Linked DNA regions of Bombyx mori. The protein of the gene in region 1 interacts with the protein of each later gene in a biochemical or structural test. Links are inferred from orthologs where the notes say so. Each region holds a gene or a part of one and is shown in the gene's direction. Other genes may lie near its edges. The genes, in order: serine/threonine-protein kinase Warts and MOB kinase activator-like 1.

Region 1 (15,422 bases):
ATCCAGGAATCATTTAAAAACAATAATTTCATTTTTAAAGCACTAACTAACCATGGCGCAAAATAATTAATAAAAACTAAGTCATTTTGCAGAAAAGTTTCGAATGTCTCCTCAGATATCCTGGCCACAGGAAGTGCTTTCTTTTTTCTTAGAAATTTCTCTGGATCGTGATTTTCAGAAAGCAACATTTTTTCAACAAATGCTTTCAAATCGTCTAAGTTTTCCCCATTCGAAGCACCCATCTGTAGAAGAAAGTAATAGTAGAAGTAAACTTATTTCTTTATATGATATAGGCTATATTATCTTTGAGGATCTATTAGACTTTATTAAAATCCATTAAAGTACAGAGTGTTCTTTAGTTTATATTCCAGTGTTTTAATTTGTTCTCTTGATAGTACACAAAAAGGACTAAAATTTAATAAATAGCATTTACAAAGTGTTTTTTTGCAATTTTATTGGGTGACTTGAGCTCACGGCTCGCCTGGCGTTCAATAATCACCGGATCTAAAGCCATCACAATGCGAATGGTCATCTTGAGACATGAGGTCTAAGTATCAAGTGTATTCAGTTATAGTATTTTTTTTATTGTCCTTACAGGCAGATGTACGTACGGCCCACCTGATTGTGAGTGGTTACCGTCGCCCTTGGACTTCAGCAATGACAGGCGCAGAGTCAAGCCTTGCCCACAAAGCTTGTCTAGGCTTCTCACCCTTCAAATCGTAACGCATTAAGAGTTCGCGGCAGAAATTAGCTGAATCGTAAAACCTACCTGTGCATGCTCAGGAGACACACCTGCCACCAGTAATTGCGCAAATTATAATTTTTAGTACACAATGTTAATATTTCATTATGGTAGTTAATCAAATGTGGTAAGAACTACATCATTAGAAAAATTAGTACTTGCTTGTGGCATTTGAGCACTGGCACAGTCACATCTCTCAACACGGTTGCCTCATCCTCAGAAATAAAACATGTGCCACTATGAAGTGAAAATAAATAAAAATTATCTATTCAGATAAATTTAATCATTAGAAACTTGTTATATACTCACAATTTTTCCATTAACAATCCAGAGTAAATAGGGGTACTGTTTGACTTCAAAATTTTCGCATGTTATCTCATTATCCATACAATTAACTTTTCCAATTTTTATGTAGTTGTTGTGAGCGTAATGTACTGCTAAGTCTGCCCAAATCGGTGCCATCCTCTGAAAATTCAATATAAATGTGGTGTGTTACATCATTGTCGTACTTCTGCATTCTGGCAAACATATTTATGAACCTTATTCTAGAAATAACAATGGAAACTGGCTGTTCTATTTGCTGTGATCTGGGATCCATCAAGGTCATCATCTTGGTGCTGATGGTATGGTCACTGACTGATAAGTGAGCATCATGGTTGTAATTGACTGCATGAAAAAGTTGAAAACTGATCGAGTGATTTATGTGAGCTGTGAAATAGAAAAATAGTGCACCAACCCTAATAAAGCAGTTTTGTAGTGTATTGACCTCAATCCAGAGATGAAATCTTTTGCTCTCCTAGAATGGCCTAATTTGACACAAAATTTGGTCCCAAATGCTATTCTGCTGTTACACCATGATAATGCAGAATGAAGTGGCAAAGCGAAAAAAAGAGTATTTCCTCTACAGCCCATCTTATCCAATGCAAGAGTTTAGTTACTATAACTGATTGGCCTCTACTTTCTGCCATCTTAGCAAAGCTTCAACACCATTCAGAGGCTCCAGCACTGCTGGTACTGGGGTTTGCTAAAACGTACATGCATCTCTCTCAGAACTCTACTGTACCCTTATTGGCTCATGTCACTGAAATAGTATCCAGCCAGTTAGTCTATATGATAGCAACCAATCTTGAAAACTTTATATCAAAGCTTTGCTTTATAGATATACACTACATTTTTTTTGTAAGTTGGTGCTACAGTTTTTGCCAGACATTGCATACCAAAGTCAAAATTTATCATCCCCATCATTGATGGTAGAAACATTCATTTCTACAATAGAAAAATGTACCACATCATTTTTTTATAGGTTTGGGATTACCTGAGATGCACGACACCAAGGTACAAAAAACATGATGAAATGCTGTCCTTTTGACACAAACTTCTCAATATTCAGGTCATTCAGATAGGACATGCCGCTGTATGTTTTAACTTCATTTGGTTGTTTTGATTGTTTGCCCTGAAATAATAAATTGGATACAGGTTTATATATATTATATTTTATATTCAGTCACATTCTTATGTTGTAGTCTATGAAGATAGGTCAGTCAGAAAAAATTATAATAAAGTGATATTATTAATAAATTTTGACACAGAACTTCCATTTATATCCATTCATCAAAATGGTCTAAATTAAGTATAAATCTCATTGGTATTTAACCTCATATCTGATTATGGCTAATGGCATTAATCTTGTGATGTTTGTAGGCTAGAATTTAATCCCATTGACCTACTTTTGCAATGAATTATGAAGAATGATTTTTTTTAATTCTGAGCAACAGTGACAAAATGGTTCTACTACTCACCTCTGTTTTGACAGAGAAGGCTTCGCTCAGAAACAATGTCAATGATGGTAAGTCCCTTGTTCCTTTGTATTCAACTGGTGTAAATGTATTTTTGTGGAAATAAAATAATGTTGGATAACCTGTAATTTTTTTCAAATTTATTTACACCATCAACTAGTGTACCTATTTTAAAAAAAAATTCTATTATGTACATACTTAAAAACAAGGAAATTATGTGTATGCTTACTTAAGTACCTGTTATTTCATTTTCATGACAAAGCTTAGCATGCACTGTGCAGTCAACTTGGGCAATGGCAAATTTGGAGTCCTTGGTATTAACCAGCTCTGCCAATTCTGACCATATCGGATAAAATTCTGTGCAATGTCTACACCTTAAAACATATAATTTCTGTAAATGGTATAGTACCGTAATGGTAAAAAATATAGATATTATGGTAATTTCAAACAGTATTTTATTGAAACTCTCTTGGAACACATCTTTAGTTGTGGATGGTTAACAACTTTTTTAATTTTATATCGTGAATTACCCTCATTGAATCAGTCGTCAGCCTTTTTGTAAAAATGCTCATCTAACTTTGTAGTTTAGTCAATAAGTATGAAGGATCTTTTTCACCACTACCCACATCAGTTCGTTTTTATTGAGGGCATTCAAATCTTTTGTTTTGAACGGAAGCTTGGCTGTGATCTTCGTATTTTCAATTTCTATTAGAGGTTCACACACAATAGGCCTCATCGATGTCACTACGGTATACCATTTACATTTCGGTCAACTAAAGAAAATTAGATTAAGTTTATTTATAAAATCGTTTCGATTCAATATTTAGTATAATTTTTATCATAAATAAATGAATATGTAGATTGTTTTGAATTTAATCACTGAAAGGAATAATGTAAATTCAATTATTGTTCTCACCATGGCGCGTAAAACATAATAAAGTTTCCATCCATTTCTTCGATCTGGAATTTGAAATTACTGGGATTGTATTCGTAAACAGAACTCTGTTCAGGAGCTACAAGATACGGAAATACAAATAGATATGGTAATATCTTCATTGTGGTGAAGGAATATATTTCTAAACAATGCCTCTGTGAATTGAGGTAACTTTTTTAGGTTGTTTTCATTTATATCTTTTCTCCTTCTCATTAGTTAAGTAGCTAATAGGTTAAATCTAAAACAACAAATAATTTCGTATTTGTTGGATAAATTTTGCTTTGCTGCACAGCACTTCAAACTTTTTCGTTTGGTTTGTCTATTGGCAGCACAGGGAACGTAGCACATATAACATACACAGTAATATTCTATAACAAAGGTGAATCTATGTCTGTTGTGTGGAAAGTCAACTGATATAGATTGATAAAAAATTGAATCAAAAATTAAATTAGATATCTTTTTTATTGTCCTTATAGGCAGACGAGCATACGGTCTACCTGATAGTGAGTGATTACCGTCGCCCATGGACTTCAGCAATGCCAGGGGCAGAGCCAAGCTGCTGCCTACCGTTAAGTATTCTCGCCGTTAAGTACTCTGCACAAGCCTCGTTTGAAGAAGGATATGTGGATTAACTGAACTGAGATAAAACAATACCATACCAATGAAATAATTAGTAAAATGGTTGGAATTAAACAAAATCTTAAGGGAGCCGGCACGGTGCGGGATTGTTCTGGCGCAGCTGGAACACAGGCCGTACTTATTGTCCGTTTAATGTTGTACTCATAGATAATACACATAACTTTTGTACTCTCCTCCAACTAATATATTCATCTGTGCTCTCCTGATATTATGTGTATTATTTATACTTTCCTCTCATGCTCGCTGCACGAGTTAATATTTGCGACGATCTTCTTTGAACTGTTGACTTTGAACCGCAACAAGAAAGCCGCGGCATATATCGCCGTCAAACACCAATAAGGGCGAACCGTTGGCCATATTTGTTCACCACCTAACCGGGGACCTGCAACACTTTCGCGAGATACGACGCCAAGGATACCACCGTTGGTTGCTTTGTGGTGTTTGTATTTTGCCGCACGCCGCCTATTATAATAGGTAGTTCGGAGGTTAAGGATGACAAGATAAGATCAATGGACTTTGGAAGAATTCAAAAAGCAATATCCAACTATTTTGTTTCGTTTAACCACCCTTGTGTACTTTCAGAGATACTAAAATGTTAATAAACCACCGTCATAACATACTAAACCTGATGAAACAGTAAATAAAAAAATAAAAAAGTCACAACTTGACAACAGCAACAACCTAAAAAAATTCCTAGCACTGGCCTCAGGTAGAGATGTACTTGGTTGAATTTAACACAGGATCGGAATCACAGCCCTCCGTGAAGATCCGGCGAGATCTCAGTGGGTGGTGTCTATGAGCTATTTCATACGTCGAGCACAGCAGAGAGTAACGTGCACAGCGAACGACAGAAGAATCTTTGAAAGTGGACCTGAAAGATCGGAAAGAATATGTTAATGGCTACGGCGGCTTTAGGTTGCCCTGTTGCCTGGGTCGGATATGTAATGAGAAGCGGAAAGGTAATGGCACGCCGCTTTATCAAAATAGCGTTCCGACGCTTCCATAAGGTTTTTACTGATAGAAACTAATTAGTTCTTACGTACCACGGTGCTCCGAAGGCTATTTTGCAGAAATGGGATTGGATAACCTGGAGAGAGTTCATGTGTGAACGGGACGCGTGAGCGAACACTACACTTACCTATTTCCTTATTAACTCCAAGCCTATTTCACAATGGAACGTATGCATGTTTTGTAGAGTGTCACCTTGTTATGAAGAAAATGAATTAGGCAATAGCAGATAGAAATTTCTTAATTTAACAGTCTTAGAATTAGACCGTTATACTCTTTTTTTTTTCTTTAGAATTTTTGCAGTTAGGATTTTTGCTGTGAGTCCTGTGACTAGGTACTTACTCCATGCCTGTGACTTTCTTATTATTCGGATACAGTTTCATTTCGACAATTCTGTAGAAGTGTTTTTTTAAAGGTCTGATTATTACTTTTAATAGAGAAATTCCTACATTAGTAAGCAGATGAGTGCTTTAGCTGGGTTCTTTTTTACGAAAAAGAGTCGTCAAACAAAATGGAATTTAATCTTCTGTGTATCCGAACACACTAAAGAATGTGGTAATTCTTCAAAATGGTCGCTTTGTATGGTTTGCCAACTTGCATGTCTGTGTTTTAGAGTCCTTTGTTTTCATATTTCCTTAGAAACTCTCGCTTTAAAGCACAACTCTATCGACTCCAGATTGCCTCTTCCGTATAAAAATTAATGCGACTAATCAAAACTAAGTGTGCAAGAAAGATGTCATCGGCAATGTGAGAGCTGTCGATCGAACTGAATTTCATTTTATGGGATTATGACATTTGTGCATATAATACGGATTTACAGAAAGTGAAAAAGTGCCTGGTAATGAATTACAGTAATTAATTATTCTTCTTAGTGCCTTGAATGAACGAAACATTGCTTTCCGAGCTCCCTCTAATTTTGGAATTCCACAAGTCTATGTCATGATTGATTCGCATTAGACATTCCTTACATCCTCGTACTCTTGGATAGAATGCGATACTGTTAAAAATTGTGTACTCGAATTGTCTGATACTGTAAACAGGTTCTGTATAAAGTCGACAAATCATATCCCTATCCTGTTGCCAAGATGTCAAACTTTTCTCATCTAACTTATTTAACTCATTATTTTATTATCACATAAAATTTAAGGGATCTAAAGCAAGAGGAATTCTCAATTGATTAGGTACTAATATTTAAAAATATTTTTCAGTTAAAAGAAAGTACCTTTCACGCTGCTACACAAAAAGCAATGTTGATACAGACTGACTAGTGAGGAAATCGATATATAAACGAAATAAATTCGATAATAAAGACAGTGACAGTGCTGCGAGTCTTAATTAGAGTGTTGAATAAATGGTGCGGAGGATAATAAACAAGGATATGTACAGGGTGTGGGGTGTGCTCATGTGATGGGAGGCGTGGGGTGAGAGGTGAGGCGCACGGGCGCGGGCGCGGGCGCCATGAACCCGCCGGCGCCCGGCAAAACGGCTACGCGCTCCGGATACCACCAGAAGGCGCTTGCCGAAATCAGAAACTCATTGCTTCCCTTTGCGAACATTGGAAACTCTGAACCGCCAGGTTCATCAGCTGCTAGCACAGTTAGTTCAGGAGTGAGTTCGGGGTTTAGTTCTTCTTCGGGAAATGGACTCGATAAAGACTTGAATGTGCTACCTCAATCCTTGAACCAACTTATTGCCTTGGGTTATGATGAGGTGAGTTTAGTTATAATGAATTGCTAAAAGTGTTTCTAAATAACAGATATGATTAGTGTTTTTTTAGTGTCATTATTCCATTATCTTTAATTTTTATAAAAAAACTGGCTGGCATTGTTTTGCCATAAAAATATTTCTAGGAAAGATACCGACTGCAGTGCCGGGTTGCTTTATAAATCTAAACCATTCTCAAATCCACCTGAAGATACACAGAAAATTTCATTAATATCGGTCCAGCCGTTTAGGAGGAGTTCAGTGACAAACACACGCACAGAAGAAATATACATATAAAAATACATGGAATTTATAATACAATTAAAATATAATAAGAAAGACTATCAACTTTTAATGTAGAAGGCAGTGTATGGCCGATATTATCAGTATTTATTGGTGATTAATGTCCATTTTCATTAATACCAAGGCTAAGGACAATCTTTAACCAGGTTTGAGTAAAACTTAAGTTATTGTTATTTGCAATAACTGAGAAATTTTAATTAAACATAAACACTATAAGTACAAGCTAATTACTTGCATATTGCCTGGTTGCAGTGGAATGAGGAATAGGCAATCATGAAACCAGTGGTAGTTTGTTTTCATTTTCAACAATCATGTTAAACATAATTTAAATTGAATCAAATTTATAGTCATAACAGTTATAAAATGAATGCTTAAGGTTGTGTTCTTGGATATAATGTTGACCAGAATTAAATTGAGAAGTAATTTATTCACAATACAAAAACACAAGATTTTAATTTTTATTTTCATTATTGTATTGTGCATGTTGTAAATGCATATTGTCTTGAGAATAAATATGGTCATATACCAATATTCTGTCTATACCTAACACTTTAACCATGTATTCTGGTTTAAAGGGCAGGCTGTCAAATATTTTAATGCATTTTTGAATTCAGCTTCGTGTTCAGATTTTTTAAAACCCCTATTGTGATCTATAGGCTTAGTTATAAAGCCTAAAATAATAAAATCTAATATTAATGATAAAAAAAGATTTTTTTAAAATTATTCTACACATGCTTTTTTTTCTACCGTCTTGGATTATATGTATCTTCTAGCTATTAGTATCATCGGTGACTGATAGCAGGAAGTTTTCAAGATCTCCAATATCAATTTAATTTTTAGTTTTCACAATTGTTCTCATAAATTTCCCAGGCGAAAAATTACATTACTGTGTACTCAAATAAATCCTTTTTTCAACATATATAATAGTATTAGAATGAGGTAAAATAGGAATTATATTCACATAGTTTGTCTATGTAAAGTTTATAAGTCAGCAAGATAATAATTATATTACAATCTACAACAAAATTACAATAAAAACTCCAAGCAAGATCTACATAAGAAGTTCGGTATACTAGTTTTGCCATGCCATTATTATTATATTACCACACAGAGACTAGGTTTGTTGGTCGTCAACTATCCATTGATCGAATGTTGGTTGTTAATTTATAATGTTACTCTGCCCTTACTCTGCTCGGGCACTGGACCCAGACGAAGATCGGGCGTTGGGGGAGAGAGTGCAAGGAGAGTCTTTTGGTAGGTAGGGCCCTAAACGTTCTTGGACCTGCGGTTCTCTCCCAATGTCTACGGACCATCAACACCCACATACTCTACGCGCCCCCTAAGCCCCCTGCCCGAATTTTTTATTATTAGATGGATGGTTTGTACCTGCCGCTGCAGGGTGGGGCACACCACCCTACCGAATTTTACTGTCAAGCAGTAATATGCTCTAATTAGAAGGGCAGGACAGTTAATATACTATACAATTGAAAAATTAGACCTCTTGTCTCGAGATGGATGACGGCGCATATACGCTGTGATGTCTATTGGCTCTAGTAACCACTCACCGTCAGAAGAGATATTCACGGTGTACTTAGATTATAATCAATTTGGTAAAATTTCATTATCTTGTTTTGCTTCTGTTTTTGAATAATGAGTATATTATTTAGAAAAAATCATTTCAGGACCCAGCTGTGAGGGCACTCAAATATGCAGGAGGGCGTTTTGATGCAGCTCTCGATTATTTGTCGAAACAGCAAGAACCTCTCAACGGCGTCCTCAAAAGCAGTAACTTGAGTGCTCTTGGCACCAAACTTATCCGGAAACCTAGTCTAGAGAGAGAGATAAATCTACATCGTGGTAGTCCTGCACTTGATTCAGGTGCTGGTAGCTCCCGGTCTGATAGTCCGCGTCAATCGGAGCCACCGCCGCTACCACACGAGAAGCTATCGCGACAGTATTCGCCTTCAGGTTTCTCAGAACCACCGCCACCTCCGCCGCCGCGATGTCCGTCCACGCCGCCGGTGCTGCCTTCCGTGCAGCAACTGCTCAAGCGCATGTCGCCGGCGCCACCTCTACCACCGGCGCGGGGCACCAGTCCCGTGGCGGCCGCGGCACCCACGCCGCCTGCCAGACAACCCATGATTGTACAAAATGGACCTCAAGTGCAACAGCAGCTTACGCAGCAGATACAAGCTCTCAGTATCTATCAAACGGGTGGCGGCGGCGAACTTCCACCGCCGTATCCGATGTCGGGTGCGCCGCCACCTCCTCCCTACTCGGTCTCTATCCAAAATCGTCAAAGCCCAACCCAGTCGCAGGATTACAGGAAGAGTCCATCTTCGGGGATCTATTCAGGAGGCACCTCCGCCGGCTCGCCGAGTCCAATTACGGTAACGCAATCGACTGGTTCAGCCGCGGGAATGACTCGCCCCACGCCGCTCCAGGCGTGGACCGCGAGACAAGCGGTGCAGCCTCCTATCATCATGCAGTCTGTGAAAAGCACACAAGTTCAGAAACCGGTACTACAAACGGCGATAGCACCGGTTGCCCCACCGCCAGCCACCAGTGCCGGAGCACCCCCACCCCCTCCTTCGTACGCGAGCTCCATCCAACAGAAGCAGGCACAGACTCCGCCCAGCTACCCGTCGGCACCGAAGCCGTCGTCTCCTGGCTCCACACCTACTGCGATTCCTCCCGCCGTCCCGACCACGGAGCCACCAAGTTATGCGATCACGATGCAAGTGCTCGCCGTTCAACGCGGCATGCACCCCGTCCCGCCGCCTCCGTACGGTAACCAAGCCGACAACACGACTACTGTTAATTCCCACCATTCTCCTTTACATAAGAAAATTTCGAATAACTGTGACGGTAAACCTGAATCGTCACAAGGGCCGCACGAAATTAAGTGTCCCAACCAGAACTGTACGAATAATCTCTTAAAAGACAACGTCACGGCCTCCGGCTCCGACAAAGGCTCTAACGGATCATCGGACAGACGACCAAAAATGTTAGATAAGATAAGGCATCAATCGCCAATACCGGAACGCAGAAATTACAGTAAAGAAAAAGAAGACGAGAGAAGAGATTGTAAAGTCCGAAATTATTCACCGCAAGCTTTCAAATTTTTTATGGAACAGCATGTGGAAAACGTTTTGAAATCTTATAAACAGAGACTGTTCAGAAGGATGCAACTCGAAAAGGAGATGAGTAAAATAGGTCTAAGTGCAGAAGCTCAGTGTCAGATGAGAAAGATGCTGTCCCAGAAGGAATCCAATTATATTCGATTGAAAAGGGCCAAGATGGACAAGTCTATGTTTACTAAGATTAAGCCTATAGGTGTGGGAGCATTTGGGGAGGTGACGTTGGTGAAAAAGATCGATACTAGTCATCTGTATGCCATGAAGACACTTCGGAAAGCTGACGTGCTAAAGAGAAATCAAGTGGCACACGTAAAAGCCGAAAGAGACATATTGGCGGAGGCAGACAACGAATGGGTCGTCAAGCTTTATTACAGTTTCCAAGATAAAGATAATCTGTATTTTGTAATGGACTATATACCGGGCGGGGACCTTATGTCCTTATTAATAAAATTAGGAATATTCGAGGAGAATCTCGCTAGGTTCTACATTGCAGAGTTGACGTGTGCTGTCGAAAGCGTGCACAAAATGGGTTTTATCCACAGAGACATCAAGCCAGATAACATATTGATAGATCGTGATGGTCATATAAAGTTAACAGATTTTGGTCTATGCACCGGTTTTAGATGGACGCACAACTCCAAATATTATCAAAGGAATGGTATGAGACAGTTTTTTGTAAAATTTATGCAGTGTTTTAGAGATTGATTTGGTGTTACATTTTTTTTTTGTATTCAGATCATGGACGACAAGACTCAATGGATCCAGTGGATGGAGAATGGGGGGCTATGGGCGAATGTCGATGTTATCAACTCAAACCCTTAGAAAGGCGGCGGAGAAGAGAACACCAGCGGTGTTTGGCCCATTCGTTAGTGGGAACCCCAAACTATATTGCGCCTGAAGTCTTGCAGCGGACTGGATACACGCAGCTTTGCGATTGGTGGTCGGTTGGAGTTATATTGTACGAGATGTTGGTTGGGTCGCCGCCGTTCCTGGCGCCGACCCCCGCAGAGACGCAACTCAAGGTAACACACAACTTTATGATATGTTCTATGATAGATACAAAATAGAGTACAATTTGATAAGCTGTTTGTTAAGATCTAGTAAAATAGACCATAGTCTACACTGATATTGCTTTTATTTTAATGACATTCTCAATGTGATTTTTGTGTTTTCCAACAATTGATTAAATCATTAAGAGGGCTGCTCTGAAAAAAAAAACATTAAAAAATTTATCTAAATTCTCTATTTATTAACTTTCAGGTGATCAATTGGGAGAGTACACTACACGTACCTGATGCAGCCAACTTATCCCCAGAGAGCAAAGACCTCATTCTGCAGCTATGTTCTGGTCAAGACACAAGGCTTGGCAAAGATGCCAATGAAGTAAAAAACCATCCCTTCCTCAAGGGCATCGATTTTGACAAAGGATTGAGGAATCAGGTTGCTCCTTACATCCCGAGGATTGAATACCCTACAGACACATCCAACTTCGACCCCATTGATCCAGATAAGCTCAGGAACTCTGGTAGTTCAGATTCAAATAAATCAGACAGTGAACTATTAGACAATGGCAAGACTTTCCATGGTTTCTTTGAGTTCACATTCAGAAGATTCTTTGATGATGGCTATACGAGCAAAATCAATTTGGATGACAATGACAATCAAGGACCTGTGTACGTGTGATATCAACTGTGCAAATAGACAATCGGACTAACTCATAGGATTATATTTTTACAAAGTGTGTGCCTTTGACTCTCTCTATTAAAACACTAGTAAGTTTTGTAAACGTAACGAATATAACGTATTTAATAAATAAAAAAAATGTTAATAATCCCGGTGATAATGTTGTAATATTGTATCGTTATCAGTTCGTAAGGGTAATATTATACGAGTGTAATATATACGGATGGATCGTAGTAGTGCATAATTCTTGATGGTGCTGTTGACGGGGCCGTGAATGTGCTTCGTTCTAATATCGTTTCATTCACTTGTATACTGTATTTTTGTAACTAGAGAAATTATTTATGAAATAAGGAAAAGCTTATTTGATCTAGCAAATGTTTTTGATAGTGTCATTATATTTTCTTATGTATTTATCATGTTAGGTCGCTTAAAATGTGTGTTTGTTTATATAATTGTAACTTATAAAGTCGTTATAAATAATCAAACTGGAATCGGCGTAAAGTTGTACTGTGCTTCCATTTGTCTGTTGGACACTAGCTCATATTGTGTGCCTTAGTATTGAAGAATTGTATATTGAAAGTGTATTTAGGGGAAGTAAATGTTTGTACGACTTTATTAGCAGTCAGCTCGGCAACGTGTAAAGAGTGCAATACGTATTTATTTAACACAACTTGAACTCTTGTTATCTTCGTTTTCGAAGATTTTTAGTTTGTCAAACGGATACTATGAGCACATTTCAGTCAAATGCTAGTATTAAAACGTGCAACTTTAAGTTATTTATGTTTACACTAACAATATTCAATTTACGAATGTATTAGCAAAATATTTATCATCAGTAATTGTTTTTTGGCAACACTAAATATTCTCCCTTTGTACAGTAAAATGCAAACGAGTCATTACAAAAACTTTAAATTATGTGTTATCAAATGTAAATTGTTTCATTCTGGAATGAAACATGCTTATAAGAAGTAAATGAAAAATAAAATATGGGATTTTTTGTTATATTTTTTCGTTTGGCCCTTCAGATTTGAATACCAAAAATAATTTTATTCTTATTATTAGGGTGATTGAAGGAAGTCTTGAACTTTTTTATTGAAATCTTCTGCATAACTTATGTGGATATTGTGCTTCCCATCGGGGTACAAATGTATTCTGCAAACAAAAATAAATACAGTGCGTTCAATAAATATCTAACATATTATCCCATCAACTAGTAAAACTTACATTAGGTCCAACATGGTCTACTATGGACAAAATAAATAAAGAATAATATTATGAATAAAGAAAAAAAAAAATTTTTTTTGGGGTTTCGAATAGATAAAATTACTTAACCGCAGTAATAATATGAAAAGTGATTTCGATTTATTAACCAGAATGAGCATATCATTTAATCTATAACACTGAAATAAAATTAATAGAACCAATAATAATAAAGTGAGAATAAGCCTTAATGCATGACATTTTGTGTGAAAACTTTTAATGATAAATGGTAAGTTTCTAAATGTAATTAAGTCTTGGTCTCTTGTTTAAATTGAGTGACAAATTAATTAGGTTGTGTTGTGACATTATGTGCTATGATATCCACTAACTGAGAAGGGTGGGGCAGCCATTGTAACTATATTGACATCATAGAACTCATACCTCAAGGTGGGTGGCGGCATTTACGTTATATGTTTATGGGCTCTGGTAAGCACTTAACACCAGGTGGGCTGTGAGCTCGTCCACCCATCCATGCAATAAAAATAAATAAAACTGGCAATCTGTGAGCATATTAATAAAATAATTACCGTGATCCTTCAATATGAGTATGCAAATGCGATACATGAACTCTGTCCACCAAAGGATCTTTTTCTCCATACAGTATAAGGGTAGGGCATTTGACATCCTTCAGTAATTCCGAACATATATTGCCATCTTTCTTATTGAAAAGATTTTCCATGCCTTCAACCCATTTACTCCAGTATTTTGCAAATAGTTCTTCACCATACACATCAATCATTGGTTGTCTCATTTTCTTTGACCACAATTTAATATCTTTTATCTCTGAAATATAAAGATAATTTCAAAATTAAAAAATTGGTCAATTAAAAATTATTGAATTGTTTTAGGTACAAACATATTGGAAACAGGAAAAAGGTGAAAAATGCAATATTTATAACATAATTTGTTAAAAAAATTGGCATAATTTTTTCAATGGACACATTTTGGACATCTTTTTAATTTTCAAATCTGTCTAGTCTGGATAGAAACAGTGGGTTTGGAAGCATTGCCTTCACCACCCCACTTATTCCCATCAATATATAATATCATAGTGTATTTATAAGTATATAATCTGTAACCCAGTTACTCTTAGAAATACACGAAGGTGTGGTAACCTCTGTTAAGATTTGTCCAATTTATGAAAGATGGGTGATTGGGGACAATGTTAGATTAATTTCCAGGTCAACCAAGAAATCTAACCATCAAAATGTTCTTTTCATTTTGGTTGCAAAGTATGTAGATATGAACAGTGGGATTAATAAAAATAAACAGTCTCACAAAATTAAATCATAATTTTACTTAACCAACTTACTTTTAAGCATTTCTAATTCATGAGGTAACATAAATGAATTACTTCCCCATATCACTAGTTTTTGTACAGTTTCAGGATATTTTGCTGCATGTATTATCCCTGTTATGCCTCCATCACTCCACCCTAAGATTGAATATTTGGGAATATTTAGTGCCTAAAATAATATGAAGATTTTAACCAGTCTTTTGTTGCTACACTTTGATCATTTCAACTACATCACATTTTTCCGATTGTGGGAAACTGTTTGGGTTTGATTCTAGAGAGTATTACTTGACAGAAGAGCTGGATCAAAAATTTTCAGAATTGAATATCTGGAAACTTATACTTGTCAATATTTTAAGACTTCTTTGTATTTCGTTATTGAGTTTTTTATAAAGGCAGTTTATCCTTCACTGTTGTTTACCTTCATAAAATTAAAAGCATAGTCAGCATCCTTTTCATAGAAGTCAACATCAAACTGCTTCATAGGAGGTCGACTTTTACCATAGCCTGGTGGATCCCATGCCACTAATGTAAAATCATTTTTGTCTATTCCTTCAATTTGAGGTTTATAATCGGTCCAGATAGTTCCAAGGGCTCCAGGTAAACAAATTAAATTGTGAGATCCTTTACCAACTTTGACATAGTTTATATTGCACCCAGATACTTTAACTTTCTCCTCCTAGAACATTTCCTTAATATTTTATTTGGTTATGAATAAAATGTTTATAAATAACTAATAAGATATGATTTAAAGTGTTACTAAATACTTTTACTTAAATGCGAATTATGACAATAATATATCACCTAATTGGCTTCACAAACAATAATCAAATAATATGATTATCATAATAACATTTATGAGCAAAATTAAATATTGCACAGTATTGTTTAAATTAGTTCTTACTCACCTTTGGAACGG
Region 2 (16,529 bases), about 13 Mb from region 1:
AAACTGCATCAGTAGTCTTTCTAAAATACAAGTAACAGGGAAGTATAACAAGTCTAACAATGAATAAAATTAATATTAAGAGTAGGTAGGTAGGGGGTATGTATAATAGTGATAATGTAGATCATTGTGTATATAAGCCGCGCCAATAAAGAAACGAATCTAAAATGGCGGCGGCAATCATGCACTCTCACTCTAAACTATTGCTGTCTTTAGGCAACGGCACATACTGAATGCAAAAAAAATATCAGTTCTGATTGGAAATAATATGGCCTCTCACAAACGAGGAAAAGTCCTTCACAGTGATGCAAGTGAAATCATGTGTAACGTTATTAAATACTTTGAAGAGGAAAATAATCTCGAGAAATTAAAGAAAGGAAATTCTCATTTGTTTTTTATATTTTTTTACAATAAACAAGTTTTTCTTTCTATCTTTCTTTTTATTTGTTGACCCTACTATCTGTCAGTGCAGGTACATAGACGCCATTTTCGATTCGTTTCTTTATTGACGCGGCTTCTAATTTTTTATATTTTTTAAGCTTACCCACAATCCATATACAAGATGTATTGAACTTAAATGTCAACGGATTTGTTATATAATCCCTGTTAGATTTATGATAAATATAAGGAAAAAAATAATCAACAATTATATAACAAAAATCATTCTCCGGTTTGTCTGATTTGCAAAATGTTTTAATGACTCAAATTCATATGACAAGCAAGGATAACTTCAGCTTTTAAACTTTCTCGAAAAGATTAAAATAAAAGGAAGAAAGCTGTTAAATAAATATTGTTGTAGTAAATAGTTACTCTTAAAGTGTTTCCACACTAAGGATGGAATGGTTATTATTTCAGAATAATTATCACTTACACCCCTGGTTTAGCTTTTAAATGATTTAACAAATGATAAATATAATATAATAATTGATTTTAATAATTTAAATGATACAAGTACTTTCATACCTTGTACTGCTTGTTCCTGTAAGCCTCCCATGGTTCAGGGTTGGTCTTCTTGTTCCAAGATACATCAGGATTACGCAAAGCCAGACGCAGAGTATAGAACACAGCTCCACCACATCCTATCCCCACACATACATACAGAGGGATCAACTGCAATTATTAATTATTATTAATATTTGTGGAGTAACAAATCCTTCTTTGTTAAAAATGTTTTAGGTAATAATTTGAACATTGATGGAACATTCTTATCAAAGATAAATCATAGTTATTCATTTTTCATTCAATAATAATTGTCAAAATTTGATGTTATTAATACACAATTATTTTGCTTTCTGATCAATTTTGGTATCTGTCTAATCAGAACTGTCTACTGCATTTCAAATAATCAAATACCTACTCTATATATTTATCACCATTTTAATTTTATATAAAACCTTACTGAAGTGTCCCTATAGTTTTTATAAGTTTTGTGTAGGTAATAAAACATATTATGTGATTTTAAAAATTGAATAGTTTTCTTCATACAATCAAATAGAAGAACAATGTCATGATAGTTGACAATAAGCTCTAATTTATGATAAAAATGTTATCATATTTTACATATTTAAATAAAATAAATCGCCAAAGGTTGCAATATTTGAATGTTTCAAAGTAATTGTATTTCTTGCTTTATTTACCAAAGTGTTTTGATTATTTCATGTTACAATTATCTATACATTAATTACCCAAGGGCCGCCATCCTGACTTATTAGCCTACCGTATTTCTATACACATTTAAGTTTAAGATCTTTTTTTGTTTAAAGCTTACTCCAACTAATGACTTGTAAGCGTACGAAGTGTCTTTGGCTCAACTTCGAAATTATACACCTAGAAAACGAATAAATGTATTAAGAATGAAATATTTTGTTATCTCTACTTAAAATTAAATTGCAAAATAGGTTAGATTATGTAAGAAGTGCAAGTGAAACGCACAATCTTCTGGAGTGCGAACAACCAGTTAAACTTACAGCCTTATGCTTCTTCAAACTTGAGAGGCTCAGTCCTTGCATTTTGAATTACTTAATTGCGTTGTAAATTAGAAAAAACTGTCCACAAACTGAATATTGCTGTCGATATCGATATCGATTGCAGGTATTATACAGGGATACTCTGCCAAGATTTAAATGTCAAACTGACTTTGACAGCCGATAAATTATTGCTTAAGTCCAACGGTTTCAGCGAAATGAGGTGGAATGAAAAAAATAATTTAATAAATAATACACATAATAGGTAGAATTCACTGAGGCAATAACTACTAACTTATATCCTTAAATTTCTGACAAATAGTCTACAGTACTCAAAATCCTGTCTCTTTCTGCAGCAAAGCAGTAAAAGTTAGACAGTAGTTACACATTAAACATATAATATGTATATTAATCAGACTTCGACCTCATGTCTCAAGGTCTGTAGTGCCATTTCCTTTTGAGATGTCCATGGGCTTTGGTAACAACTTTACGCCAGGTGGGTCAAGTGCTCGTTCAGTCGAAGTTATAAAAAACAAATAAACTTTCTAGCACCGTGCATAGATATTAAATGTGGGGACGTACAGGAAAATTTCTGCTTTCAATTCATAGTCGATTTTAAATGGATTGATTAAAATAGATACAATATCTAAGAATTATACTAGCTATTTTCTAAATTTTGGTTTTAAATTTATTCTCAGTTTCAGCTTACACAAGTTATTAACTTTAGTACCAAATTGCTGTATCCGACTTACAGTTTTATCTGTTTAAATACTACGCCTGTAAAACGATAGATAACTGCCTATATTTAAACCACTATTGATACAAGCACCATGTAATTGTCAAATAGATGTACATGCATGCGATAGAGGCGAATAATTCGATAGTATTCTGTCTCATTCTCTCGTAGGTTAAATACTTTAAAAGTAAATGTTTGTCTTTTTTAAGTGTCGCTTCTTTGAATTTCAAATAAAGTAGGTTGCTGTTGCTGTAGGATGTGTTTGACATTTTGAATATTCGATTATGAATTTGGAATCGATTGATCGACTAAACCCACCAAAGAATAATGGGGAACTGCAATCTGCATGGAACTTGAAATAATGCAATGAACTTTTGACAAATGTTTTGTATTCAATTTGTGAACAAGTGAATTGAAATATTCTTTGTAATAAAATAACCTATCTATATAAATTGGTGCTAAATTTGTGATTAATTTATTGTTTAGATAAGGAAGGAAATACAAAACGGTCAAAATGAGCTTCCTATTGTGAGTATTACGGAGTCAATAATGCTCTAACCGGATCTATTTTTAACTGATCGTCTTCCGCTGAGAAAAGCGCTGACGTCTTGTTTACGTCTACGCTATAATCTCAGTAGCCATGAGTTAAATATGATGTCTTAATGTATGCGATTTCGGCGCCCCCGCAGGGCCTCGGCCTACTCAGATACAGATGTCGAAAAACTACCGCCCGCTCTATCCTGTCTCTCAGTATTGAACCTTCAAAACCTACTAAAACACCTTCAAGAATTAGTTTACTTTTTATTACAGTGGTAGTCGCTCAAACAAAACTTTCAAACCAAAGAAGAATATTCCTGAGGGCACCCATCAGTACGATTTGATGAGGCACGCAGCAGCCACACTTGGTTCCGGGAACTTGCGCCTCGCTGTTATGTTACCCGAAGGGGAGGACCTCAATGAGTGGGTTGCCGTGAACAGTGAGTGGATTATCCAATTACATTCTAAGTAAATTTTGAAGGAGGCTGGCTAACTTGAACGCTTGCACGCCACACAACCAGAATGAAAATATGATAAATATTTACCAAAGTCATTTAGTTATTTGTTGTTGAGTTACATTCAAATGTAGAATAATTTATTGAATATCTTTGGTGTACATAGTAAGAATAGAGTGACACTTCTGCCTTTGAAAGTAGGGTAAGAAACTAAATCTTCAATTCTAAAGGGATAAAAATATTTCTGATTATTTTAATTGGAGCACATGATATTATTACACAATTACAGAATATTAAAAAGTATTAGTCTTTAGTAAATTACTTTTTATCACATCAGAATCAATACGTTGGTTTCATTCCTTTTAATAATATTATGAGGGTTAGAAAGTTGTACTTTCCTCCTAAGGTCAATAATATGTGATTACTTAATGTAGTGCAAAAAATAACTAAATTCAAGGGGCTAGGATGGGGCTGTAGATGTATTTGTTGGGATTGAGAAGGGATTTTTTCTGCCACATTTGTAATGAGACTTATTAAAAAAAATATTTTTGATTGACATATTAACTTCATTATCAAGCAAAGTATAAAAAATCAAACATGAATTTCAAATGAGCCTTTTAATTACTGTATTGCCCCTTCCCATAAAAAGCTTGAGACTATAGAACCAGAATCTCTGGTTGCTATTAAAGTAGGTAGGTCGAAAAAACGAAAAGATGACCATTCTTAATTGCTGCATGTCACGACAAAGGAGGATTGTTTTTAAAACATAGCATTGAATAGAGCATTGTGTCATTATTGTAGGTAGCAGATGATTCATTATGATAAATAAATTTACTTCTATATTGTGCCACTTATAATTTTACATGTTTCCTGTTGATGTCAATAATAATTGATAAGTTTACTGTGTATTTTATGTGTAATGTTTTAATTGAAATATAGTCAGACAGATTTTTATTAGACCTACATAGTAGTTACTTTGAATTCAAGTATTTTCATTCAGGCCACAGTGCGCACTGGTGTGCCTTATCTTGCTGAACCGTTTGGGCCATGAGGGTGAGCCACGTGAGAAACGCTTCCTACAAGCCACAGATTGCAGCTATCAAACAAAACGCTCATGGAAACTGTGTGGCCCTTCAGCCAAACTGAATGCCTTGGTTTTCAAATGCAATAGCAAGTTGTAGTTTTTATCAAGATTGTAGCCTTTTAAAATATTTTAAAATTAGAAGGTATATATAGGTTGCTAATTTTTATCATCCATGCAAAATATAGCATTTTATAAATTTTAGAAGGAAAAGTTGATTAAAATTACTTATTCCCTGATTTTGGCTTTACGAGATTGGTATAGTACGTTAGGCCCACATGGCGTTTATCATGTTAAGTGACTACCAGAGCTCACAGACACCAAGTCATTGCTGCTGATCCCACGATGATGTGAGCTCAATGTTTTAATAGGATCCATAAGAAATGTCCCATCTTTTATAGCAAAATACATTATTGTAGTGCTGCAGAAAGGTAGGATGGTAGTACCTAGGTGCTTTCACAAAAAACCATCAATAAGATTAAGGAGAAATTACAGTTGGCTCGCAGGATGATTTTCAGAAGAAAGGGTTAGTTGTGAATAGCATAATTATACTACTACAGGTCTCGTGAGTGCAGGTGTAGTAGTAGACAGAGGTTGCTAGTTTCCTTCCGACCGTAACTGGAATACCTTTGGCTACCAAAGCTATACTGTTGTCATTGTGGAATCCAGTGACTTAAAAGACTAAAATAAAATTAGTTTACTACTACTACTGAGCTGGCGCTATGACCCCGAAGTGGGTCTTGGCCTCCGATTTATCGGATCGTTTCTGTTTTCTTGTCGGTTTCGTAACAAAAGTTTTTTTACATGAAGGGGTTGTCAGCCCCTTGCATAACCCCCGAAATGCAGGAGGACCACACCCTACTTTGGTCAGCGAGCCCATCGGACTTAGCTTAATTAGTTTACATATCTAGAAATACAAATATTTAATAATAAAATTAAGAATAACAAAAAGACATACTTCCCCAGCTGTGGATTTCTTCAATCAGATCAACATGTTATATGGGACCATAACAGAATTCTGCACAGAGGAGTCATGTGCTGTCATGTCTGCCGGACCAAAATATGAATACCATTGGGCTGACGGACACACAGTGAAGAAACCTATCAAGTGTTCGGCCCCAAAGTATATAGATTATTTGATGACGTGGGCACAGGATCAGCTTGATGACGAAACCCTGTTCCCTTCGAAAATTGGTAAGAAATATGTACATAATATAATGATTAAATTGTAAGGTTTTTCGGAGAGGACGAGGTGTGTGAATCAGTTGAGTGTCTGTTGTGTGTTGTCCCCCGGAAACCTCACCGGAGCGGTCAATAAAACATTACTTATAAGTACATGTTTATTCGCGTCAGCGATCGCGGTGGATCGCTGCACGTTAACCACTGACTGACTAACATCTATTGCTCATTACTATAACTGCATAGTAAGCTAAGCCGGGCGAACTTCACTGCAGTAGACTCATTGTGTCTACTATACTTGAAACTGTACTATGAACCAGCACAATGGCTTCAGTTAATGTACGGGACCTCTGCATTAATCACCAGTTACCTAACATTTGAAAGATGATTTTGTTTGCTTGATACGTTTACGGGTGGTAGGACGTAATGTGAGTCCGCACGGGTAGGTACCACCACCCTACCTATTTCTGCCGTGAAGCAGTAATGTGTTTCGGTTTGAAGGGTGGGGCAGCTGTTGTACTGTAAAAAGTGACACCTTAAAAAACATATCTCAAAGTGAGTGGTGTCATTTACGTTGTAGATGTCTATGGGCTCCAGTAACCACTTAACACCAAGTGGGCTGTGAGCTCAACCACCCATGTAAGCAACAAAAAAAATAGGAGATAAAAGAGCATACCTTTAATGATGAGTAACAAAATGGCTATTATTTTTTAAGGTGTGCCATTCCCGAAGAGTTTCCTACTGATGGCAAAAACTATATTGAAGCGTTTGTTCCGCGTGTACGCGCACATCTACCACCAGCACTTCCCGGAGGTGGTGCAGCTGGGGGAAGAGGCTCACCTCAATACGTCATTCAAACATTTTATATTCTTTGTACAGGTAATCTTTCTTAACACTACCATAAATTATGTATGCAGTTAGGCTAAATTTTAATAAGCATAATTAATTAACAAGATAATTATGCAAATTCAGAGTATCATCAGATTAGTTATTGCGTTATTATGAACTCGCACGGACAGACACCAACACTCAGCCTGTTGCTAAGTAATATACAGTCCGGTTTTAGACACATTGTTGTTTTGTAGACTTCAGAAATGGTTGAAAAAAGTGGTGATTAAATTTTTTCTTTTGTCTGTTTGCCTACCTAAGCTGATAGCCTTGAGAGGCTATATCAGCTTTTCCCTAGCGTGTAGGTGAACTCTCGGGGCTCAAACCGGAGTGTTGCTAACACTGGCCCTAGCAAGAGCAGTGCTTCGCAGAATCTACCACTAAATCGAAAACGCGACCCACTGAGAATGACTATGGGTTAATTTACTCGTCAAGCCCTTCCTCGCAAGCAACGGATTCGGCGAGGAAGATAACCGGTGCTTGAAGTAACTAAAAGCACCGTTAATGTATCGGGAGACTGCTTACCAATCGGTCCACGTCGCTCTAAACACGTCATTACGGATCTACCTGTAATGACGTGTCACCCATAGACACAGCCCACTGAGCTTCTTGCCGGATATTCTTCTCAGTTTTACCTCTGATAGAACCTTAACAAATAAACTTCCACTACCATTAGTGTTGTACCTTTCAGGAGTTTAATCTGATCGAGCGCAAAGAGTTAGCGCCCTTACAGGAGCTCATCGACAAACTGACAGCGAAGGACGCGCGATGAGCGTCGCCCGCCAGCCAACACACCCGGCCTAACCTACTCAGGTTGTAAAGATATTTTTGTACTATCTAGTCGGCCTTGATAATAACATTGACAACACACAGATCTGTAAATCAATTTTTTTTTTATATTAGTGTGTGATATATTCATAATTTTTAAGCATAAACTAATGTAGTATTTTTTTTGTCATCGGCCGATAATTTAAGTTATTCTTAAATTTAATTATAATGTAGTTTGATTTTAATTATTAGTCTTATTGTATGTAAGCTCCAACAGATTCAAGTTATATATTTGACCCTCCGGAGAGACCTCCGGTCCAGAGATACTGTCAGCCCACTAAACAAATTTAACTTTTCTAATAGCACTATCATTGAATCAATGTAAATATTTTTATAATTTATTTTCTAATTAAGATACTGAATCTTCTGAATAAACAAAAAAATTGAGATCTGTCGTTGTGCATGCATCACACAGAAACTTCTATGTACAGATATCAAACGCTTAGTGCTTATTTAGAAAACAAAAAAACTAATTCATTTATTTATTTATTTTATTTAATATATTTTGTACGCACAGCTGTTAGAAAAAACACGACAATACGGAAACAGAGTACAAGGGCATTCAATTTAAATTTATTAAAGTTTTTAGAAACGGTGCTCTCGCGGCTGTCCTGAATAGATGGCGTTCGTAGCTTTCTGAATCGCGCTGTGCTTATGTTTTAATAAATGAGGCCGTCAGCTCAGAAGTGGCCTAAGCTGTTAGTATGGCGGCAATTAGGTTTGAATTTTCATGAATTTGAATTTGAGTAGGCATAAAAACAATACACGCAAAATTAATGTTTAAAAAGCTATCTGTTATCTATGGGTGAAACTATGGACAGGCCAGTTTTACAATAAAATTTATTATATTTTAAATAAATTCCAATACACGTCATATAAGCTTGAATATAAAAAATTGAGGGTTAGGCCACTTTTGCGCTGATGGCCTCAAATATAAAATGCATTTTCAAATAATCACGTATCTTCGGGATATGCGCGGATTGAGCTAAATCTAGTTCCTCATAAAAATACAATCGTATTATAGACTCAGTAAATAAAACATCCGCGTAAAGTTCTTTATTATAATTCCGTTTATATATTATTGATTATTTAATTTTTAAATGGCTCTCCTGTAATGTTGCAAAAACTTTCACTCCTCGATATATGTACACAACGGTAGTGTCCCTTTCTCCGCGCGAGGTTTGATCATCGTATACAAAGACCGAGTTAACTAGTAAGAATTCTAATTGAAATCAAACTACAGTATATTGAAATGCTTATAAATATTACATTACGCGTATTAAATTTGATTTTGTTTATTACAACCCAAAAATGTTCATTAAATAGAAAGAATTGCAAAACAATTTTATCGGGATCTAATCGCGCCAAATAACCTTCCATTATCTTAAAGCCACAATAGATACGAGAAATGGGCATTTGATAATTCGTATAAATAATTATTATCACATTTCTTGGGTTTTTTGTCTCCATAATATTACTTTGTGTCTGTTGCGTTTGGGTATTATGTGCATTTTGTCATTCCTTGTATTTAGTAACCCAAGTATGACGTATTCAATAATGACAGTTCCGAACGTTTTAACGGGAAACTTGAAAATAATCAAATATGTCCGCTACCTATAATTTTTATGTAAATTATGCTGGTTTTAAATTTAAAAACAGTTACTACCGACAATATTATTTAAAAAACATCGCTATAAGCGCTAAATACCGTCCACCATACTAACTAATTTAGAAATGAGTTCTTACTTTTCTAAAATCGCCATTTATTTTATAAAATAAGGGCCTTGTGTATCAAATCTCTCTCCGCTTTCTAAGAACTTTTTATGTAAATAATGTTCTGAAAAAAATATCCTAAATTTACACAAAGATAAAATAAAATACCTTGATTATTGTTATTGAAATATTTATTGAATATTTTGTTGAAAATGAACTGAAAATTTGCCGCGATTACATCCTCACTTGGGAAACATTTCAAATCGTATTAAAGATTTCTAATAAATGACAAATACAGTGCGGGCTTGCGTTGCTAAGATATGCAGCGTGCAATGGAGACAATAAAGAAGCGCTTATATTATTAAATGAATACTTTTGTGATTTGGATTAGTCGTATTGGTTTTTTTATGTGAAAGATTTCGAATACTTCTAAATACCGTGGTCGTTGTGGTATAGTAATTGCAAAACTTGACTTGATGTCACAAATGATGGTGTGACATCCAAAGCTTTAAATCTTTATGAACTAGTAAATGAATCAATTATTTTGTTTGCATTATTTTTATTTAACAATAAATAGAATATTTTGTGCAGGTATGTATTTCTTCTAATAAAAACATATTATTATGATAGTAAGTTACTAGTTTCTAATCACAGAATGGTACTAAACATATTTATTTACTTTGACTAACGTATTATCGTATGATGAATTTATTTAAACAATTTATTTGATTAATGATTAAGGTTAAATTGTCCTTTGTCAAGTTCAATTCCTATTGGTATCAGATAATATTAAATTTTTGAACTATAACTAATTCTGACATTATATTTATTTCTTGTTGAATCTATTTAAATTTAATTTTTATCTTCATTTATTTATATTTACAGTTCGTTTTGTGAATCCCACTGTTCCGTAATGAAATAAATAACATAAGTGATATAGTTTTGATTTCCGTCTTTATTTGAATAGTATTTTTTAAACTAAGATTATTTCTGTTTGCGGACTGCTAAGTGTCATGCCGATATTTTCATCGGACTTAACTTGCTTTGCACGAGCGCATGGTGCGCAGTTCGGTCCGTGGTCCGCACCATTCGTACTAAGGTCGCACTTACGACGTAACTACCTTTGAACTAGTGAAACGCCGTGTATACGGGGTCGGATAGTTTGCGGCTGAACAGCAAATACGCTACTATTAGCCACATATGACGTCATGCGTTGACTATATATTACATAGATGTAAAATACTGTTGAAGTTAAACGATTTATTTAGTGATTTGTAATTTTAAATGATTAACTTGGACAAAAATGTAATCGACTGATCGTATTTGTTTAATGAGCGTCCTTTTAACATTACTACTTTTCAGACCTTTTTGTTCAACCTATGTAAATTTTTTTTCTTATCAAATCATACATATCAATATTGCTTCCAATATATTCAAGTTGGAAGCATTTAAATTTTATAAATGCCTAATCGAAACTTTGTACCTACTAGGGCGCGCTTGAGGCCTTTAGATATGCAGCCGCCATACGGGGCGCGTTGGACCCAAAGCGGGCGATCCGATGTTTTTTATTTATTGCTTTTGTTAGCAGATGAGCATACGGCACACGGAGCTAAGTAGTTACTGTCGCTAATGGACGTAAACAAAGTCAGGGGCAGGGCCAAGCTGCTAACTACAATTGCCTTTGCCATACACGCTCATTAGATAAGTTCAGTACTAATGCTTAGTTAGGTAAATTAGACTTTCCGTCATAGTTTATGTACGTATGGGGCTCGACAATGGCGACAGCATAATGCGTGTAATGTTGACAGGCGACTTGACCTCCCATAGACCGATCTACAGTCTGCCGGGCGATGTATAGATTTCCTTCGAAACCCGTATTCATACTGAGGCGATGTCGCCCTAAAAGTTCAATGGCACAAGTATTCAATAAATAAATTTGAAAAATATCACAAAATTATGTACTTAATTAATTTTCATTTTGACACATTACACCTTCAGAATTAGTGTTGTTTTTTTTTGTAAATGCCAAAAATGCAATTGAAGAATTGTAAATTTTTAATTTTGGTTTTTAAATACGTTAAATATTATGAATTTTGAAATACTTTAAGCGCATAGGTACCTTAAAAGTTAAGATATACGCTTGATTTAAAAGAGGAGGAAAGTGTACTTTGTCTTTTTCTAATTAAAATTTAAAATTAAATTTTTTATTTGCCCATTTTAATTTTATAAACTGTCAAAATACATGTTTATGAAAATCATTTCCTTAAAATTTTTAGTTAAGCCACTTCAACTCTAAAGGTGCGACATATCACAAAAAATATGTACAACACGCAATGTATAATAGCCGGCAAACTTCTTGAGCATTTGTTGACGTAGTGGGGGTAAGTTCGCGCATGGTACACTCACGTGCAAAAACATTACTTACTCTGCGTCATAATGCTATTAAATTATTAAAATTAACATATGTATTTATTTATATATTTATTAGAACATCAACAAAACATATAGGTTATAATAATTGTAATAATTTAATCTTGGGGTAAAATAGATATTCCTTCTATTAAGTCAAAACTAGAGCTGTTGCCAGGTCTTGATTCAGTTGAAGCGAAGCTGGTATTTGTAATTTTTTTTTCGTTATCATAATCTTGACCATCATCATCATCACTGTTTTCATCACCCGAGTCGCTATCATCGTGATTAGTCGACATAGTGTAGTTTACAACTCGGTCGATTCGGTCTTCTTTTTTGTCTATAATTAATTATTTTTTGAAGATATTCGATTCGTAGTAATCGAATGCTACTTTTTTCAATTACCAGCTTCCGATTATTTTCTGTTCTTTTTTTTCATCTAAAGCCTAGCTCTTTCATAATACGTCGTAAGCTTCATTCCGAGCCATTAAAATTAAACTTTTCGAAGCCTTTCTACGGTACGGAGTTTCGCTGCTTGTTATGTAGTTATTATGATTACATCTTTTTATTACAGATTGAACGAAACTATCCATTCCGGTAACTTTCTTCTTCCCTGATCTTTTCTTACCCGGAGTCCGAAACACGGCGAGCAAGCCAGAGCCTTTAGCTTCCTTAATAATGCACCTAACAGTACTCACTGATGGTTTTGTTACTTCCGAAGTTTGTTTTAATTTTTCCATATCATTCTTCCCCTGTTTTATAATGAAGCAATATACGTCGTACACAATTTTTCTACCCTTTCTTTTGAATACTACACCGGTTTGTCGCGGCATAGTGTATGTTTTATAAAAAATCAACAAACACTCAACAAATAGCAATGGCAACAAAGTCCACAAGTAATTATAACAAATAACTTAACGATTAATAACGATAGACTTTCCACTGTACGCAAGCGTACTTTTGAGAGCAAGCGGAATGAGGGCGCAGTGCGGGACGCAAGGTTCAACTGATCTACCAATAACGCGCTCGAAACGATTTCCCCTGCCGTCGCGCCTCACCCTCACCACCAAAGTGATCTAAAATTCGGTTCTGCGCAGTCAAGGTCATTTGCTCACGAAGTTTGCCGGTTACTATAACTTAATTTCAAATCAGCTGACGCGCAGAACAGGCTACAAAGTGTTCACGAAATCTATCGTCAGTTTGTTTTAAGGGCCTGTGCACACCACGTTTTTTAAACGCGTCGTCGACGCGCGTTTTTAGCGATACACACGCGATACGCACGCGAGTCAGAGGAAGCCTGTAGACCTTTACACACCTGTATAAATCCAAATACGCGTTTGTATCGATACAGACGACAACAAACCGCTTTGTGTTTAAAAAAATGTGGTATGCACAGGCCCTAAGTAGTACGATGTAACAATTCTGTCTTTAAAGGACGGTGCTCTTATGCTGTATATTCAATTGAGTGCTACGCGTTTACCAATTATTATTATTAGTCTAATAAAAAATGTCAGACCCTCTGACTCAAAATTAGATTTAGTTCTCAAATAATACGGCCCGCTGCGAAACGTCGAGAACAAATGTTCAACTAATACGCAAAAATGCAAAAACCCATTACTGACTACGACTGTAAGTTTTTGCGCGCTTTATTTTTGAACGCAATAAATAAGTAATTTAAAAATCTAAACGAAATATTGCCTTCTTAAGCTATAAGAATTATATAGATGTGATTTATCTTTTGTAACGATTGTAGCTTTGATATGAAAATTATAGTTTATAAACATACTTGTATTGACGAAGTGAGGATTGTTTGCCCTTATTTATTCGATTGTGTGAAATTATGACTTCAATTTGAAATGAATACACAATAAAAACACATTTAATGTTTTTCATTGCTCCCATTACCTGTTTTGGGGTTTATAAGCATTATTAATTGTCAATTTAATATTTATTGGTAGATACATCATTGATGATATCGAAGGGTTTAAAGCTATTTGCTTTAAGCGACATTTCGCTTAACACGCGACATTTATCTTTGTAATTAAAGATGCGTTTTATTTGGTATTAGCATCAACAGTTCGATGTTTTTAATTGAACTTCAATTAACTTTACTCCATTCAGATAGCTGAAGAAGTTTTATATTTTTACTAAATTTTAAACTTTAAATGGCTCTCCTGTAAAGTAGCATATATAGCTTATACCAAATAAAAATTTCTGCAAGTAACGAATGACAATAGTCATGCGTGACCAATAAAATAATGAAAATTTCCAAATCTCTGAAATAATAAACGAGGTTAAACTGTGTTAACCTAAATTATGATTTAATGTATAAGCCGACGGATATCCTATCACAACTTATTGCAATTTATGCTGTTTCAAATTGTGTATGTACATTGAATAAGTTTTATGTATATTGCGATATGACGTCACTGTATTTAACTATAATGATCTAATTGTACTTTCAACGACAGCCCTTATTGTTATGATTTCTTTTTTCTATATAATAAATGAGTTTAGGACAAATTCAACTAAGTGCATGAAACAAATTTATCCCACGCCGCTGACTCATGAATTTAAAACTTATAATTTTACTGTTTTAAAATTATCATGATTTATAGTTCTTCGCCATTTTCACAATAATATATGTTATAAGAATTGCAGAAATTAAGTTTGAGAATTATGATCACCTCAGTCAGTTAAAAAAAAGTTGCTTTATTTCAAATTGAAGTCCGAGAAATAAATTTGTGCAATAAAATTATTTCCGATAATTTATTTTCATCTCGATGTAATTCGCTAAAATAATAATTATTAATTGATAATGATATTTTGTGCATTTAATTTTGTGTTATGAGTTAATATTACATTTAACACAAGTTAGTTTTGTTAATTTAAATTTAGTTTATCAAATAAATAAATGTGTACATAATTTATATCAATCTGTATTTTATTTATTATTTTGATTTCTATTTAGTATGTACGAGGTGGTTTAATTCAATTTCTAATTGTTCTGTTTCGATGTTTGGGCGGATTTAAGATTTTCACCACGAAGGAATAAAATGTAACATATTCAACGCAGGTGAAGTGTCCCTGTTGCATAACAACGCTATTCCATCAAGTCTTCGTTCGGATTGTCGATAATCCCATTCGCACGGATCGTTTGGAACCTCTGAGTCTGCGGAGGGATTTCGGTTCCCTCTGTATTTTGTACCGTACGTTCCATGGGGAGTGCTCTGAGGAATTGTTTGAGATGATCCATTCATCTCCTTTTTATCATCGCACCTCCCGCCATCGGAGCAGAGTTCATCCATATCATGTGGAACCGCTGCGTTCATCGACAGCGTGTTTTTAAAGTTTTGTTGCCACGTACCATCCGGCTATGGAATGAGCTCCCCTCCACGGTGTTTCCCGAGCGCTATGACATGTCCTTCTTTAAACGAGGCTTGTGGAGAGTATTAAGCGGTAGGCAGCGGCTAGGTTCTGCCCCTGGCATTGCTGAAGTCCATGGGCGACGGTAACCACTCGCCATCAGGTGGACCGTAAGCTCGTCTGCCTACAAGGGCAATAAAAAAGTCTCCTTAAATTAATTTTGAACTAATCATCGGTTGGCTGCGACTTAGTTATGCCCTGACATTGCTGATACCCAGAGTCATCGCCTATCACCATGAGATTAAGAATAAGTACCACAGGTTTACAATCTAAAAATACATCTCATTCCTGCAGGAAACTAATTCATTATGTTTAGGAAAAATAATTGACACTTCCATGACTATGCGAGTGAAGTTGCAGGAAACTGCTAGTGTTTTGTATAAATTTAAAGTTAAACTACATCTCGAATAAATATTAAAATCTTACCTTTCTCTATTTAAAATAATAATAAACATATATTTCACATTAGTAATCATTTTATTGCTTTCCGTTACCTCATCACTGCTTTAAAAGGTAATTTTTTACAAAATTCATTTCTAAGTGTTTTTAACAGTTCATTTGAAAGATAAAATATTAAATATAGTACAATTGAATGATACTTCTTGTGTTGAATTGAATTGTCGAAATATGCACTTTCATTTAATTTTGTAAGTAATTGAAACATTAATATATCTATCGCAGAGTATGCGTAGACAATCAGAACGATCGCCGTGGCGCTGGCGGCCGCAGACACGTCGATGTTGTGTGGCGCCAGGTCTACGAGGAGGAGACGGGCGGGGGGGGCGGCGGCGGGGCGAGGAAGGCGGGCGGGGGCGGCGGGCCTCCCCACGGCGGGCTGGGACCGAACCCGCGCCACGGTCCAGGACCCATCATACCTGTACATAATAAAATTACAATACACCAACTATACTGTAATAGGACCTCTTGTGAGTCTGCACGGGTGGGTACCACCGCCCCGCCTATTTCTGCCGTGAAGCAGTAATGCATTTCGGTTTGAAGGGCGGGGCAGCCGTTGTAACAATACTGAGACCCTAAAACTCATATCTCAAGGTGGGTAGCGGCATTTACGCTGGATGTCTATGGCCTCCGGTAACTACTTAACACCAGATGGGCTGTGAGCTCGATATACATACAATAAAAAAAACTATCATTTCTAATTAAAACGATAAAAGCTTCATTAAGTTGATGAGCTGAGTTGTGAGCATTAGCATCAATGAGTATCAATGGAATGCACGTACCTGGTGGAGGGGGCGGCATGGGCCCGGGGGGTCCGGGCGGCCCCGGCATCTTGTCGCTCTGGAACACAGACAGACACG

Evidence for each region.
Region 2: of the proteins of serine/threonine-protein kinase Warts (region 1) and MOB kinase activator-like 1, one has a biochemical effect on the other in vitro, tested with the Drosophila melanogaster proteins (2 studies listed by BioGRID). The link is inferred for Bombyx mori from reciprocal best matches to the Drosophila melanogaster genes wts and mats.

Annotation. Positions count from the first base shown.
Region 1 is NC_085112.1:13,706,875-13,722,296, forward strand, and holds serine/threonine-protein kinase Warts, read left to right. Parts: upstream 1-5,666; 5' UTR 5,667-5,957; exon of another isoform or gene 5,958-5,990; intron 5,991-6,300; exon of another isoform or gene 6,301-6,327; 5' UTR 6,328-6,577; coding exon 6,578-6,829; intron 6,830-8,808; coding exon 8,809-10,924; intron 10,925-11,001; coding exon 11,002-11,288; intron 11,289-11,526; coding exon 11,527-11,949; 3' UTR 11,950-12,953; downstream 12,954-15,422. Other genes in the region: thioredoxin domain-containing protein 5 homolog, read right to left, coding at 52-242, 1,052-1,207, 2,058-2,195, 2,542-2,660, 2,776-2,912, 3,455-3,594; bphl-like protein, read right to left, coding at 13,008-13,101, 13,737-13,992, 14,522-14,675, 14,925-15,182, 15,412-15,422. UniProt on the Drosophila melanogaster protein: Negative regulator of Yorkie (Yki) in the Hippo/SWH (Sav/Wts/Hpo) signaling pathway that plays a pivotal role in organ size control and tumor suppression by restricting proliferation and promoting apoptosis.
Region 2 is NC_085112.1:813,420-829,948, reverse strand, and holds MOB kinase activator-like 1, read left to right. Parts: upstream 1-3,031; 5' UTR 3,032-3,211; coding exon 3,212-3,225; intron 3,226-3,507; coding exon 3,508-3,674; intron 3,675-5,736; coding exon 5,737-5,964; intron 5,965-6,664; coding exon 6,665-6,828; intron 6,829-7,528; coding exon 7,529-7,609; 3' UTR 7,610-14,723; downstream 14,724-16,529. Other genes in the region: cytochrome c oxidase subunit NDUFA4, read right to left, coding at 961-1,107, 1,965-2,006; splicing factor 1, read right to left, coding at 15,970-16,088, 16,452-16,509. UniProt on the Drosophila melanogaster protein: Coactivator of Warts (Wts) kinase in the Hippo/SWH (Sav/Wts/Hpo)signaling pathway, a signaling pathway that plays a pivotal role in organ size control and tumor suppression by restricting proliferation and promoting apoptosis.